Linked DNA regions of Coturnix japonica. Each later gene encodes a partner of the first gene's protein in a complex. Links are inferred from orthologs where the notes say so. Each region holds a gene or a part of one and is shown in the gene's direction. Other genes may lie near its edges.

Evidence for each region.
Region 2: the proteins of KCND3 (region 1) and KCNIP1 are in contact, whole or in part, in a crystal structure (PDB 2NZ0), measured with the Homo sapiens proteins. The link is inferred for Coturnix japonica from reciprocal best matches to the Homo sapiens genes KCND3 and KCNIP1. Residues at the interface, in NP_001365898.1 of Homo sapiens: Ala6, Ala7, Trp8, Leu9, Pro10, Phe11, Ala12, Arg13, Ala14, Ala15, Ala16, Ile17, Gly18, Trp19, Pro21, Val22, Pro26, Met27, Pro28, Leu29, Ala30, Pro31, Lys34, Lys36, Arg37, Asp39, Trp54; in NP_001030009.1 of Homo sapiens: Leu67, Arg69, Gly70, Phe71, Glu74, Val80, Phe85, Ile88, Tyr89, Phe92, Phe93, Tyr101, Leu105, Phe109, Phe122, Ala125, Leu126, Leu129, Leu130, Leu138, Trp140, Thr141, Leu144, Tyr145, Ile161, Val162, Ile165, Tyr166, Met168, Met169.
Region 3: the proteins of KCND3 (region 1) and KCNIP2 are in contact, whole or in part, in a cryo-EM structure (PDB 7W6S), measured with the Homo sapiens proteins. The link is inferred for Coturnix japonica from reciprocal best matches to the Homo sapiens genes KCND3 and KCNIP2. Residues at the interface, in NP_001365898.1 of Homo sapiens: Val5, Ala7, Trp8, Leu9, Phe11, Ala12, Arg13, Ala14, Ala15, Ala16, Ile17, Gly18, Trp19, Met20, Pro21, Val22, Ala23, Asn24, Cys25, Pro26, Met27, Pro28, Leu29, Ala30, Pro31, Asp33, Trp54, Arg60; in NP_775283.1 of Homo sapiens: Arg112, Gly113, Phe114, Asn116, Glu117, Cys118, Val123, Phe128, Ile131, Tyr132, Gln134, Phe135, Phe136, Tyr144, Leu148, Phe152, Phe165, Leu169, Ile172, Leu173, Arg180, Trp183, Ala184, Leu187, Tyr188, Met201, Met205, Ile208, Met211, His228.

The regions. Positions count from the first base shown.
Region 1 is NC_029541.1:3,442,174-3,445,724, reverse strand, and holds part of KCND3 (potassium voltage-gated channel subfamily D member 3), read left to right. Parts: intron 1-1,059; coding exon 1,060-1,222; intron 1,223-3,551. UniProt on the Homo sapiens protein: Pore-forming (alpha) subunit of voltage-gated A-type potassium channels that mediates transmembrane potassium transport in excitable membranes, in brain and heart. In cardiomyocytes, may generate the transient outward potassium current I(To).
Region 2 is NC_029528.1:13,391,678-13,395,228, forward strand, and holds part of KCNIP1 (Kv channel-interacting protein 1), read left to right. Parts: intron 1-1,566; coding exon 1,567-1,691; intron 1,692-3,551. UniProt on the Homo sapiens protein: Regulatory subunit of Kv4/D (Shal)-type voltage-gated rapidly inactivating A-type potassium channels. Regulates channel density, inactivation kinetics and rate of recovery from inactivation in a calcium-dependent and isoform-specific manner.
Region 3 is NC_029521.1:19,802,874-19,807,144, forward strand, and holds the start of KCNIP2 (Kv channel-interacting protein 2), read left to right. Parts: upstream 1-1,458; 5' UTR 1,459-1,545; coding exon 1,546-1,618; intron 1,619-4,271. UniProt on the Homo sapiens protein: Regulatory subunit of Kv4/D (Shal)-type voltage-gated rapidly inactivating A-type potassium channels. Modulates channel density, inactivation kinetics and rate of recovery from inactivation in a calcium-dependent and isoform-specific manner.

The DNA.
Region 1 (3,551 bases):
AAATAGCACGTTATTGATTTGTGGTATTGCGAGGGGTTTGAGTGCAGTGAAGGCAGGTGAATGCAGAAGGATCCTGCTTGGAATAATTTAGCTTACACAAGTGATGTCTGAAAAATAAAGGCCCGACTATAAATCACTTTACTATCAATATTTGCTCCATCAAACACCAAAATATCCCAAAGAAACCCCAAACACCATCTGATAGCAAAGAGAAACCACTTGTTGCCCCTCGAAGGGCTCAGCCTTTACTTCTAGCATCATTTTCCTGTCTCCTACAAAACTTCACCAGTGCTTGCAATGGGGTTTCCTGTGCTGACCTCCTGAGCCACTGTGGGAATTCATGCACTCCGGTGGTTTGCACGTGGCCATTTTGGTGCCAAATCTATTTTTTTATCTTACAATAAAATACCACCTAAATGGCTCGCTGAAACAAGGCCTGTGAACTCAGTCAGTGCCTGTGAGAATCACATTCGTGCCTTACTCTAGGAGCATCAGCTACAAAGGAACCTTTTGCTACACGATCAGAACACACCTCCACTTTCTGAATGGGTTTCCATTTGCAGATGATAACTTTGAAGCCAATTGGAGAGGACAAACTACAGAGGAGAATGAGCCTCCAATGGAGGCTTCCATTGCACTGGCGGTGTTTGGGGTAGCAACATCTGCACTGCCAACCTCTGGTGCCCACCTGGTTATCAGGAGCTGGGCTGCGAGGTGTGGAACCTCAGCAATGTGCAATGGACAAAGCACATTGGTTTTCTCTACTTAGAGCCAATGTTAAAGCTTAAGTATAAAACTCCTGCAGAAAACTTTCGTAACTTGCAAAATAAAAGCCACAAACTGCAGAAAGACCCCCAAAAAAAGCACTTAGCAGAGCAGTGCTTATGTGTTACGTGCAATCTAAAGAACCTGGGTCAACAGCATGAGGGATTTGTTGCTTGTCTAAGCATTGCTATCAGGATGCTCACCTTGCTGCTCAGAGAACCTGGAAAGGCTCTCTGGAAAGCCATTACATGGGTCTGAAGGGAGAACCTCCCATATGTGTGTGTTTCCCCCTAGCTACGGTGACATGGTGCCCAAGACCATTGCTGGGAAGATCTTCGGCTCCATCTGCTCGCTGAGTGGGGTGCTGGTCATCGCCCTGCCCGTTCCTGTCATTGTCTCCAACTTCAGTCGCATCTACCACCAGAACCAACGTGCCGACAAGCGCCGGGCACAGAAGGTAAGCAGCCGCACCAGGACACTCAGCTGCATCACACACACAACCATGGATCACCTTGCAAAGCAGCTCCAACATCATCCTGGCCAGGCAGGATGCTGAAGCTGCATCCCAGTTCACTTTTTCCTTTACTCATTGGACCATGTTCCAATTGATGGCAAAGAAACGTATCACCGAGGCTGATGCCGATATGATTGATGGCAGCTTTTATAAGGTCCGCAGTGTATTATTTCCCCCATTTGAATTTCTAATTCCCCTGATATCAGATTAATTTCTGGGCTGAGAAAGTTTTCTCAAGTCAGAAGTGTGACTAATTTTCACATGAACTCCCCTGCATGAATACTAAAGAGAGCCAACAAACCAGCAGCACGTGGCTGGCCGGCTCTCCAGGGATGGTCAGGACGTACACAGGCGAGAGCAGAATCTGCTTTGGTAACACAGCCTTGTTCCAGCACCAACCTGCAGTGATTAAATTTCTTCTTTGGGAATAGAAGTTTAGTAATAGTTAGAACTCTGTCCCCATCTAATTAGAGTCACAAAGACATTTATGTGGCTTTTTCAGGACGGCTGGATACAGCTCATTGCGCTTTCTCAGTCCTTGAATACATCCCCCAGCTTGTTATAAGCAGAGTTGAGGACACACAGCTTTGAAGAAGTAGCACAGACATCTTTTCTCACTTCCTAGTGTGCTAAATAAATCCTTTTTCTCCTTTAATTGAGGATTAGATTGTAAAATTATTATAAACTGAACTTCTTCCAAAGCACTGATTCCAAGAATCGTAGCTGGGACAAGCGACTCTGAAGGCTGCCCAGGCTATGGATCATTCTGCTGTTGGCATGAACTCAAATGAAGTTGTCCAGTGAGAAATAATTGAGACAAAAGCCTTGAAAGAGCATCCAGCTGAGGAGGGGGCACAGTGCTGAGAGCTGAAGGTTGAGGTGTGAATAAGGGGATGGGGGGTGGCTGTTACAACAGCCAAGGAGAAAGGTGCCATGAAAAGAAAGGGGGAAGAACAGAGAGCAAAACAAAGCCACCACCACCACCAGTGATTTAGTCAGCTCAGAGGTAAATTATTCCTTGCCAAACCTGCACTGCAAGAAAATTAATTACGGGGAGATCTGGCAATCTTAATTTATTGCGCTGTGTCATCAAGGTTTGTTCTCTGGCAGGCAGCAAGGACCAGGTCACTCTGAATGGGAGACAAATTGATCATGTCTGACAAGGTTCACTTTGGTAAAATTGTGTTGGTTTTTTTTCTCTCCCCCCAAAGACTTTTTTTTTTCTCCCCTTTTTTTTTAATGACATGCTAAGAATAGACCTTCCTGACATTGAAGTGATGCTGTTCTTCACTGAATGTCAAAGCCTCTGGTTTTAAAGGAGAATTTGATGCTTAACGGGCTTGACAATTGAATGACTTTGTAACTCAGGTAGTGATGGTGCCTCCCTTGCTGTGCTCAGCTTGAGCAAACTCAACCTCCCTTGGGGTAAGAGCAAAATCAAACCAGGCCACCACAAGAGTGTGGACTGTACTGCAGAAGCCTTGAGAAAGCCTTATTTCATCCCCTAAGCAATACCTTCCCAGAGAAGAACTGAAACCCCCAGTTTAGGCAAGAAAAGGGCAACCTGGGCAAAACTGAGGGCAGAGCAGCCCTCAAAAACAACTGCAACACAGGACTGAAAGCTGAAACTTTGGCTGTCAAAAAGCAGACGTACAAATGAGGTGAGGCAGAGGAGTGGACTCATTGCCTGGTTGGTGAATTAAAGCGTTCCATCATACAGCCAATAGCAGCAAAGAAAGGGATGCAGGACAAGGGAAAAGCCGTATCTTTTCAGATAGAAGTTGACAAGAGGAAATAGATGGAGGTAGATTACTCTGGAGCACAGAGATCCTTGTGAGATGGTTGTGCACACACAGCCACGACTGCAGGAGGATGCAAAGGTAACTATGGAGATGCTGAGAGGGGCTTCAGCCACAAGGAAGGATGCAGATAGCTCATAGAGGCACATTGGAAACAGCCTGTTCTGGAGCCACCGCCACTCCCAGAGGCACAAGAAACAGCCACTGAGCTGCCAAGAGGGAAAACGGTGACGAAGAGAATGCTCAGTCCCAGATTTATGCCATCATCTCACCCATGAGAAAGACAGCCCACACACCCGTCAATAACAGGGCCATTATAATAATTGATTTTCTACAGAGCATGGGAGTCAGCTTTGAAATGTTCTGTTTCTTCAGCTGACACCCTAAATTTTGGAGGTGGGTTAGTGAGCTTCATTCAGAGCATAGAACAGAACGGCCAGAAACAGCGAGCAGAGCAGAGCTGGGAGCTCAGC
Region 2 (3,551 bases), on another chromosome or scaffold:
CACAGTCACAGCTGAGAAAGCCAGCTGCTAAATGACATGCAGTTTTTTCTTCCTTTTAGTACACAACTACAGTTCAGCCTTGTCTGCAGGCAGCTTAATCTGTTCTGCTTGTGCAAAAAGGGTTGTTGGAGCTGAAGAATATTGATGAGATGTTTTTCTAAGGCATGGCTGGAAGGTGCGCTGCCAGCAGGGGAGTTCAGCAGGGCTCCCCCCACTGCATGCTCTGCTGCTGGGGCACATTCCTGCCTGGGAGCAGCCCATGTTGCAGAGCTGTCCTGCTGTGTGTTACCCTGCTGGTGTGTTTTAAAGATAAACTGCCAATGAAACAACTTTTTCTGTACCATGGCAGATTAATGCACTCGTGTCCAATGAAGTGGGAAGATCTGGAGAGAGTGAAATGCTGGAGCAGATTGTGTTTCTTCAAATTGATTCTTTCAAGGCACCAATTTATCTGTTTCAGTAATACTGCACATTATACACTCAGTCCATGGTAATGAAGCAGTTGATGACCATTTTACTGAAGGTGATTTGGGGGGGGAGTTACTAACTTTTATGCCAAGCAATCTTCGGAAATAAATGGGATGTTACAGGGCATAGCCATGCAGAAAAAGACTTGGGGTACAGCTGCTGGATGTGGCACTCGAGGTCAGGCTGGATGGGGCTCTGAGCACCTGCTCTAGTGTAGGTGCCCCTGTTCATTGCAGAGAGTTGAACTGGATCTCCTTTAAGGGTCCCTCCCAGTTCAAACTACTCTATGAGTTATGTCAGCTAAAAGCTGCCACTGATATTTGAAGCTTAAATAATGTCAAATTGACACTCACTAAACCCCAGTGTATTGTTATGGCATTACCTGCACTGCTGGGGAAACAGGCTTGACAGGTAAAAAGAGAAGTCAGAGAAGAGGTGAGGCTGCGAGAATCCAGCATGAGATACATCTCAGATACTTTTCTTCCTTGTGGAAGGGTGTTCTCCTGAATAAAATACATGACTATTTTTCACTGCTTATCAGTTTCCAGCCCATGCAGATGCAGGTTGGGTTCATTCAGATTCAGTAACTGTGGGCATAATTAGAATTTCCCTTGGGCTGAACGTGACCTTTGGTGTCCAGGTAGGAAGCCCTTCTCTGGCATACAGAAGAGTTTCCCTCACTGTGTACCCTCAGTGTAATGTCGTTGTCTAATATGCTTAAGCATGACTGCTCTCTTACTTGTATTTGCTCAGCTTTCTGTCAGGTCTGTACTTTGAAAGGCCTGTTTTCAGTGTCATTTCAATATTTAGCTAAGAGTATCTGGTGTTGCCTTTTAGAGCAATGTGTCTGCTGCCTATCCTGTTCTCCCCATCAGTTTTTGGCTAATTGGCAGCCCCAGTAAGAAGTATGAGCTATTGCTTTACTCACCTGGCTTTTATTTTGCTTTTGAGAGGTTGAAAGCAGTTATAAAGACCAGTTCTATTGATGGCTTCTGTTTTTTTTCCTCTATTGCTCTTGAAATCCAATCTGTCTTACCCATCACGTTAACAGAGCAAAGGTAACAGCCAAAATGAATACCTTCCTGTCTTCTCTTTTAGATAAAATTGAAGATGAATTAGAAATGACTACGGTGTGCCACAGACCCGAAGGCTTGGAGCAGCTTGAAGCACAAACCAATTTCACTAAAAGAGAGCTTCAAGTGCTTTACAGAGGATTTAAAAATGTAAGAACAGCACTGCAGTGAACTGAATCCAGTATGTATGTCTCCACCAGCCCCAACTGCTCAGCTGCGTTTTGTATCGTTCCCCTGTTACGTACCAGCATTTCTGCACCATATCTCCTCTGCCACAGCAAAATGAGCTCACGATCTACCTTTCCATCTCATATTGATGTCCCCATCATCTGCTTAAAATGAGGATTGGATGAGCACATCATGCTCATTACATTTACTCCCTAAATGTCACTAAGCGTGCTGCAAATTCCTCAGCTGTGCCTGTACTTTATGATAATCTGCAAATGTTTTCATGTTTATTTAATTTTTTGCTTGCTCAATTCTTGCTGCTGGTTGACTTGTATTGTTTGCTTGGGATCCCTGGGATTTTTGGTTTGGTGTTTGTTTTTTTTCCCCCTTTCCCTATCTTGGATAATTCTTGCTATTCAAGTGGGATATTACTGGAGCAAGTTAGGACTACAGAGTCCAGGGTAAGTAGAGAACAAGGCAAGAGCCCAACAGACCTCAGAAGGTAATGGGTATCAGGGAGAGGGTGTAGGAAACCACAGGTTTAGATGAAATAAGGTAGTGTGCCAGCTAGCAACACTGCATGCACGGAGCAGCAATGTGCTGGTCTTCATGAACCTCAGCCTGAGCCAATTCCCCCTGGTAGGATTGGTCTCCACAGGGCAGTGAGCCTCACCATGTAGGTGTGCTGCTGCTGCCTAACAGGGACTCATACTAAATAGAAACGGGATTTTGAGGTTATGTGGAACAGATGTGTTATGGGTCTGGAAGGTTGAAGAGTCATTACACGACTGCCTGAGGGTCTGAGTTTTGTCATACGGGTGTTTTGTGTCAGGTAATGCTTTGATGATGATTAATGAATTGTTATTGAGCCAGCTTAATAAAAGACATGTGGTTTTTAAGTTGCTCTGTTGGACTGCTGCAGTATTTCAGCTACTGTCATAGCAAAACACTGTAACTTCTTAAACGGTCCAGTCCATTGGCTGAAAGAAAATTGAGCCACCTCAAGTGCAAGTCTTGTTGAGGGAAAACTGTTGGATGCTGCAAAGGTCCTTCCTTATTTTTGCATTCTTTAAATTTGGTTGCATCCTCTCTCTTGCACATATCTGACTTCTCCAGCACAGCACAACTGCCTGGATCTTGGCTTATTGTGTGTGTTGTGCTTGTGCAGCTTTTGCTGGATGTAGGGAGTCATTTCACGTGAGGACCTCAGTCTGACCACTGAAGATGAACCTTCTGAAACCTCTTTTGTGCTCCGGCTGGTCAATAACAAAGCATACAGCTTTTAAGACAGGACTCAATAGGTTAATATATAGTATAATATGATATAACCCCCTACAATGGGGAGCAGAACTAAGTGCATTCTTAAACATTGTGTTCTCCTATCTTGCTGACATACCTTTCTTGCTGTGTATGGGAACCCAGTGCAGGACACCGTGCTGAGAAGGAGAGGCTGTGTCAGCACCCCTAATGCAAACCAGAGGCACCTGAGCCTTGCAGCTCTTAACAGACCTGGGGTTTATCCAATCCCCCAACTTCAGTTCTGCAATTATTTTGCAGTACAGAGGCAATACATTTGAGGGAAAGAATAATGATGAAAGTGCACTTAGCTTGTGAGTTCAGCCCTTCAGTAAGACCCCACTGATGGTCTTGGTGTTAATTGACAGTGCTGGCACGATCCTGGCTTTGTCAAGTCATTAGGAAAGCAGCGTGTTTTCTTCCAGCTGCTGTGGGTGCAATGTGCATGAAGCTTTAATATTTAAAGTTTAAATTGAAAGGGCAGCTATAGCTTTTCTATCCTATAAATCATGGTTTCAATGGAATGAGTAATTATGCACAGTAGGC
Region 3 (4,271 bases), on another chromosome or scaffold:
GGCTGTCTGTGGGGCTGCCCCACGTCAGCCCGTGTCCCCCAACAAGCCCCCCACCTTTCTCATCCTGGCACAGCATCTCTCACTGTGCTGCAGGAGCTCTGAGCAGGGATAAAAATAGCCACATTCACCTCCCAAAGGGCCAGGGATGGCAGAAGTTGAACCTCTTCCCCACTCAGAGCCGCTGGGCCGGCCGTGCCCGCAGTGCCGCCCCCGGGCTGCTGGAGCCCATGGGGAGCAGCTGGCGATGCTCCATTCGTGGCACCCCCCGGGGTGCAGCCGGTCCCCAGCCCCTGCCGGGCTCAGGGTGGGGATGCGACGCAGCGGCCGAGCGCAGCGCTGCGGGACCCGCAGCTGGGGCGGGTGGAGGCGTCCCGGGGGTTCCTCTCCGGCTCCGCGGCCGCAAGGAGGGAGCGTGTTTCCCCAGCAGCTCTCCGAGCATTTCTCCGCCGCGTTTTCTTCGCTAAATGGCTCTTATTTTTAGATGCAGGCAGTTGCTAAGCATCGCTGCCTCGCTAAGGCGGCCGCTTTCGTGGCTTGACACCAAAGCACGCTGACAACACGCTGCCGCGTGAGCGCGGCCCTCCCTCCGAGCTGCTCCGCGCTCCCTTTCTGCCCCGCGGTCCCCACGGGCCGCGATGGGTGCGGGGATCGGGGCGGGATGCTGCGCCCTCCATCTCCCTGCAGGGAACGGGACACGCAGGGTGGCACACGCTGGCAGACGCAGCCAGGCCGCGCTCGTGGCGCAGGACATCGCTGTGTCGTGGGGTCTTCGCAGCTCTCAGCGCGCCCCGAACGGCTTCGGACACGGAGGGCGGCCGATAACCGGGGGCAGCAGCGGAGCCGAGTGTGGCCGTGGGGCCGTGGGCCGCCCTCCCTGTGCCCCTGGGGGCCGCCCGTCCCCGTGCTGCTGTTTTGCTCCGTCTGTGGGGCTGCGGTGTGGGGCGGATCCTGGGACAGATCGTGCCGGGGATGGGGACGGCGGGGGTCCTGGTGGGCTCGGGCCGCCCTCGCTGCGCCTTCGCATTTGGTTGGCCGCGCACGCCCCACTGCCCAGTTGCAGTCCAGCTTCTCCACCAGACAGTGAGTCCCCCAGGGCTCCACCTTCCCTACTGGGGGTCCCAAGGAAGGGGCTGGGGGTGCCCACAGCGGCGTGCAGGGCACTGCGCTCCCCCGACTGCCCCGTCCCCGCGCAGTCCCCGACCCCGGGGTCTCCCGAATACCCTCAGCGCAGCGGCTCCTCCCGCAGCCCTCCCTCCCCGTGCCTCAGTTTCCCCGCGGCGGCGGGGCCGGGCCGGCGGCTCCGGGGAGAGGAGGCGGGGAAGGACGGGAGGGAGGGGGCGGCCGTGCCCAGCCCCGGCGGCGGCGGCGGCGGTAGCGGCGGCGGCGCGCTCCTGAGAGCAGAGCCGAGCCGAGCTCCGGCACCGCTGCCCCCTTCCCGCAGCCGCGCGGGGTGGGGGGAGGCGGCGGCCGCGGGCACCCCCTGCCCGGCGGCGGAGCCCGTGCGCCCCGTCGCGGTTCCCCCCCCCCGCCGCCGCCTCGGAGAAGATGCGGAGCAAAGGCAGGAAGGAGAGCCTGTCCGACTCCCGGGACCTGGACGGCTCCTACGACCAGCTGACGGGTGAGTGCCGCCCCCGCGGAAGGTGCAGCAGCCGCTCGGGATCGCCGCTCCCCCCCACCCCGGCCCCGGCCCCGGTCCGCTTCCAGCCCCAGCCGAGCCCCGTCCCCCGCCGCCACGCTTCGCCAGCGGAGCCCCGGAGCAGAGTGGCAGCCCCAGCCCAGGGGGGCATCGCTCCCCGCGGAGGTTGGCAGCCCCGTGGGGAAAAAACCCTCATCTTCCCCACGGGCGTTCGGGTGCTTCAGTCTCTGTCGGACACCTTTAAACCTGCCTCCCGCATCTCCGCTTGGGACAGCGGGGTTTCGCGACAGAGCCCCTGCAGCGGGGTCCCCCGGGAGCCGGGTCCCCCAGCGGCACCCGGAGCTCCTCCCCTGGGTGCTCCCCGGGGCGCAGCAGCCCTACCCCAGCGTTGGGATGGCCGTAGTGCAGAGAAGCCACACGTACCCCATCCGCAACCCTGTGCCATCCCACTCCATCCTCACCCCCCAGCCGGGAACTGCCCGTCTTCCCAATCCCACCCCATTTTCTCCCCATTGCACCTCATGCCCCCCTCCTTCCTCACGTGCTCCCTGTGGATCTGGCCAGATCCTATCCCTTCTTAGAATGTCAGCAGCTGGGCAGTGGGGCTCCCACTTACCGGGGCTGCGATGGAGCTGAGACTCTCTGGATTCAATGCAGTGGGACACGGGCAGCCCCAGGCCCCATGATGCTCCTACAGACCTGTTCCACAGGGAGTTCTGAGGGGGTGGGCAGGACAGGACCCCCCCACCCCATAAGCAGCCCTACACAGGGACGCCCTGCCGGCTGCCTGCACCACCACGCTGCGGGGAGATATTTTTGAGCTGTGTAGGAACTTGGAACCCACACACAACTTTCGGTTTCTCCGGTAACTTTAACACGTCCATATGGATTTAAATCGAAGCGAGGTTAAAAATAGACCCCAGGCTCTCCAAGGCTGAGACCTTTCAGGGCCAGGCTTTGCCTCCAAGCACAAACCCAGGGATGGGGTCACTGGGAGCCCCTGCAGCAGCCAGCCCATATCCCAGCAAGGCCACTGCCTGCCAGCTCCCCCAGGAACGCAGGGTTGTAGCAAAGCCTGCTGGCAGATTGGCCTTCCTGTCCACTGACCCATCGAGGGGACTCTCACCCCCAATTCAGTAGCTCAGCTGGGGATAAGCATCCTGCTGCAGCACGGCCTGGGGACATCCACAATGTGAGATGTGACCTGAGGTTGTCTGATATCAGGCGGTGGCACATCCCCAGTGATCGTCCCTTAGTTGGTCTCCATCACCCCTCCTATGCCAAAAAGAGGAACAGGGAGGTGAGGACCTGATCTGTGAGCTCAGGAGGGCTGTGAGCCCCTGAGAGAGGAGGGGGCTGCACGTGGCTGCTGGTGTGACATGGGCAGCACTGGGCAGAGGGGAGAAACGCTACCAGGAAATTAAAAGGGTCCATTTTGGGGACAGGGAGATGACGCTAGAGAGAAATAAAAGCTGTCCATAAATTACATGATTCCTCTGGCCCACTAATGACATGGGCGATTAGTGTAAGTGCAGCCCATGTCCAGAGCCATGGCCCTCAGCATGGGAGAAGCAGGACCCGAGTGCAGCTCTGACCTTAGGAATGGAGGTACGGGGCCCCACAGCACAGGGGGTTTCAGGGGGAGCAGGGACATTGGCCCCACATCACCAATGGGACCAGCAGTTACTGGCATAGGACCAACATAAGGCTGCCTGCAGTGGGTCAGACCCTTCAGCTGCTGCTTTTAGGGGTGTGGGATTTGCCCTTAGGGGTGAGGATTTGCTTTTAGGGTGGCTGTTTTCCCCCTGCTTTCTCCCTCCCGTGGCATTGCTCCGCCCCAAAGGCAGCCGCAGTGTTAGCAGGGGGTGAACAACTGCTATAGAGACCATCAGCACAGCTTTGGGGTCCTTCTGCCTCCCCCGGCGGCGAGATGGGGACCCCACAACTCTTTTTGCAGCCCCCCACAAGATGAGATCCCCAATAGCAGTGAGTGCATAGGGCCACGCAGCTGTAGGACGGAGCAGGATGCTGCGTGCTGTGCTCTGGGGTGCGTCACAGGGATGGGGACAGCGACAGCACAGCTGTGTACAGCTCCCTGCCTGCCACATGCCAGCACACAGACACGCTGGGTCTCACAGCCCCCTCCCCAGTGCCCCTGCCCAGAGGTCCCAGCCTGCTGCCCACCCTCAGCTTCTCCCACCTCTGCTGCTACTCCTTATGCTCCACTTGTCCTGCCCGGTGGCGAGGCGGGGCTGGAAGCCGGGCTGTCCCAAATCCCCCATGGGAAATCCCTCCTTGGGGTGGGGAATGGTGTGGAAATGCTCCCACTGGGGCGGGGGGTCTCCGGGGGCCCCACTGTGTCAACGCACCCACCCTCGGCGGATGCTGCACCTTCACGGGGCGATGGATGGGAGTGTTGCCTGACCGCCTCGTCTGTCTGCTGCCTCCCTCCTCCTGTCTGCTCCTCGCCTCGGCCCTTTGCTGTCCTGGCTTGTTTGTGGCTCTGTAGGGCCAAGCGATGGGGCTGCGATGGCGGGGTGGGGGAGGGGGTGTGCTGCAGGTCGGGGACCTGGGAATAGCGGCACGGGATGGCTGGGCACGGAGCTGGTTTGCTCCGTCGGATTTCTGCAGGCAC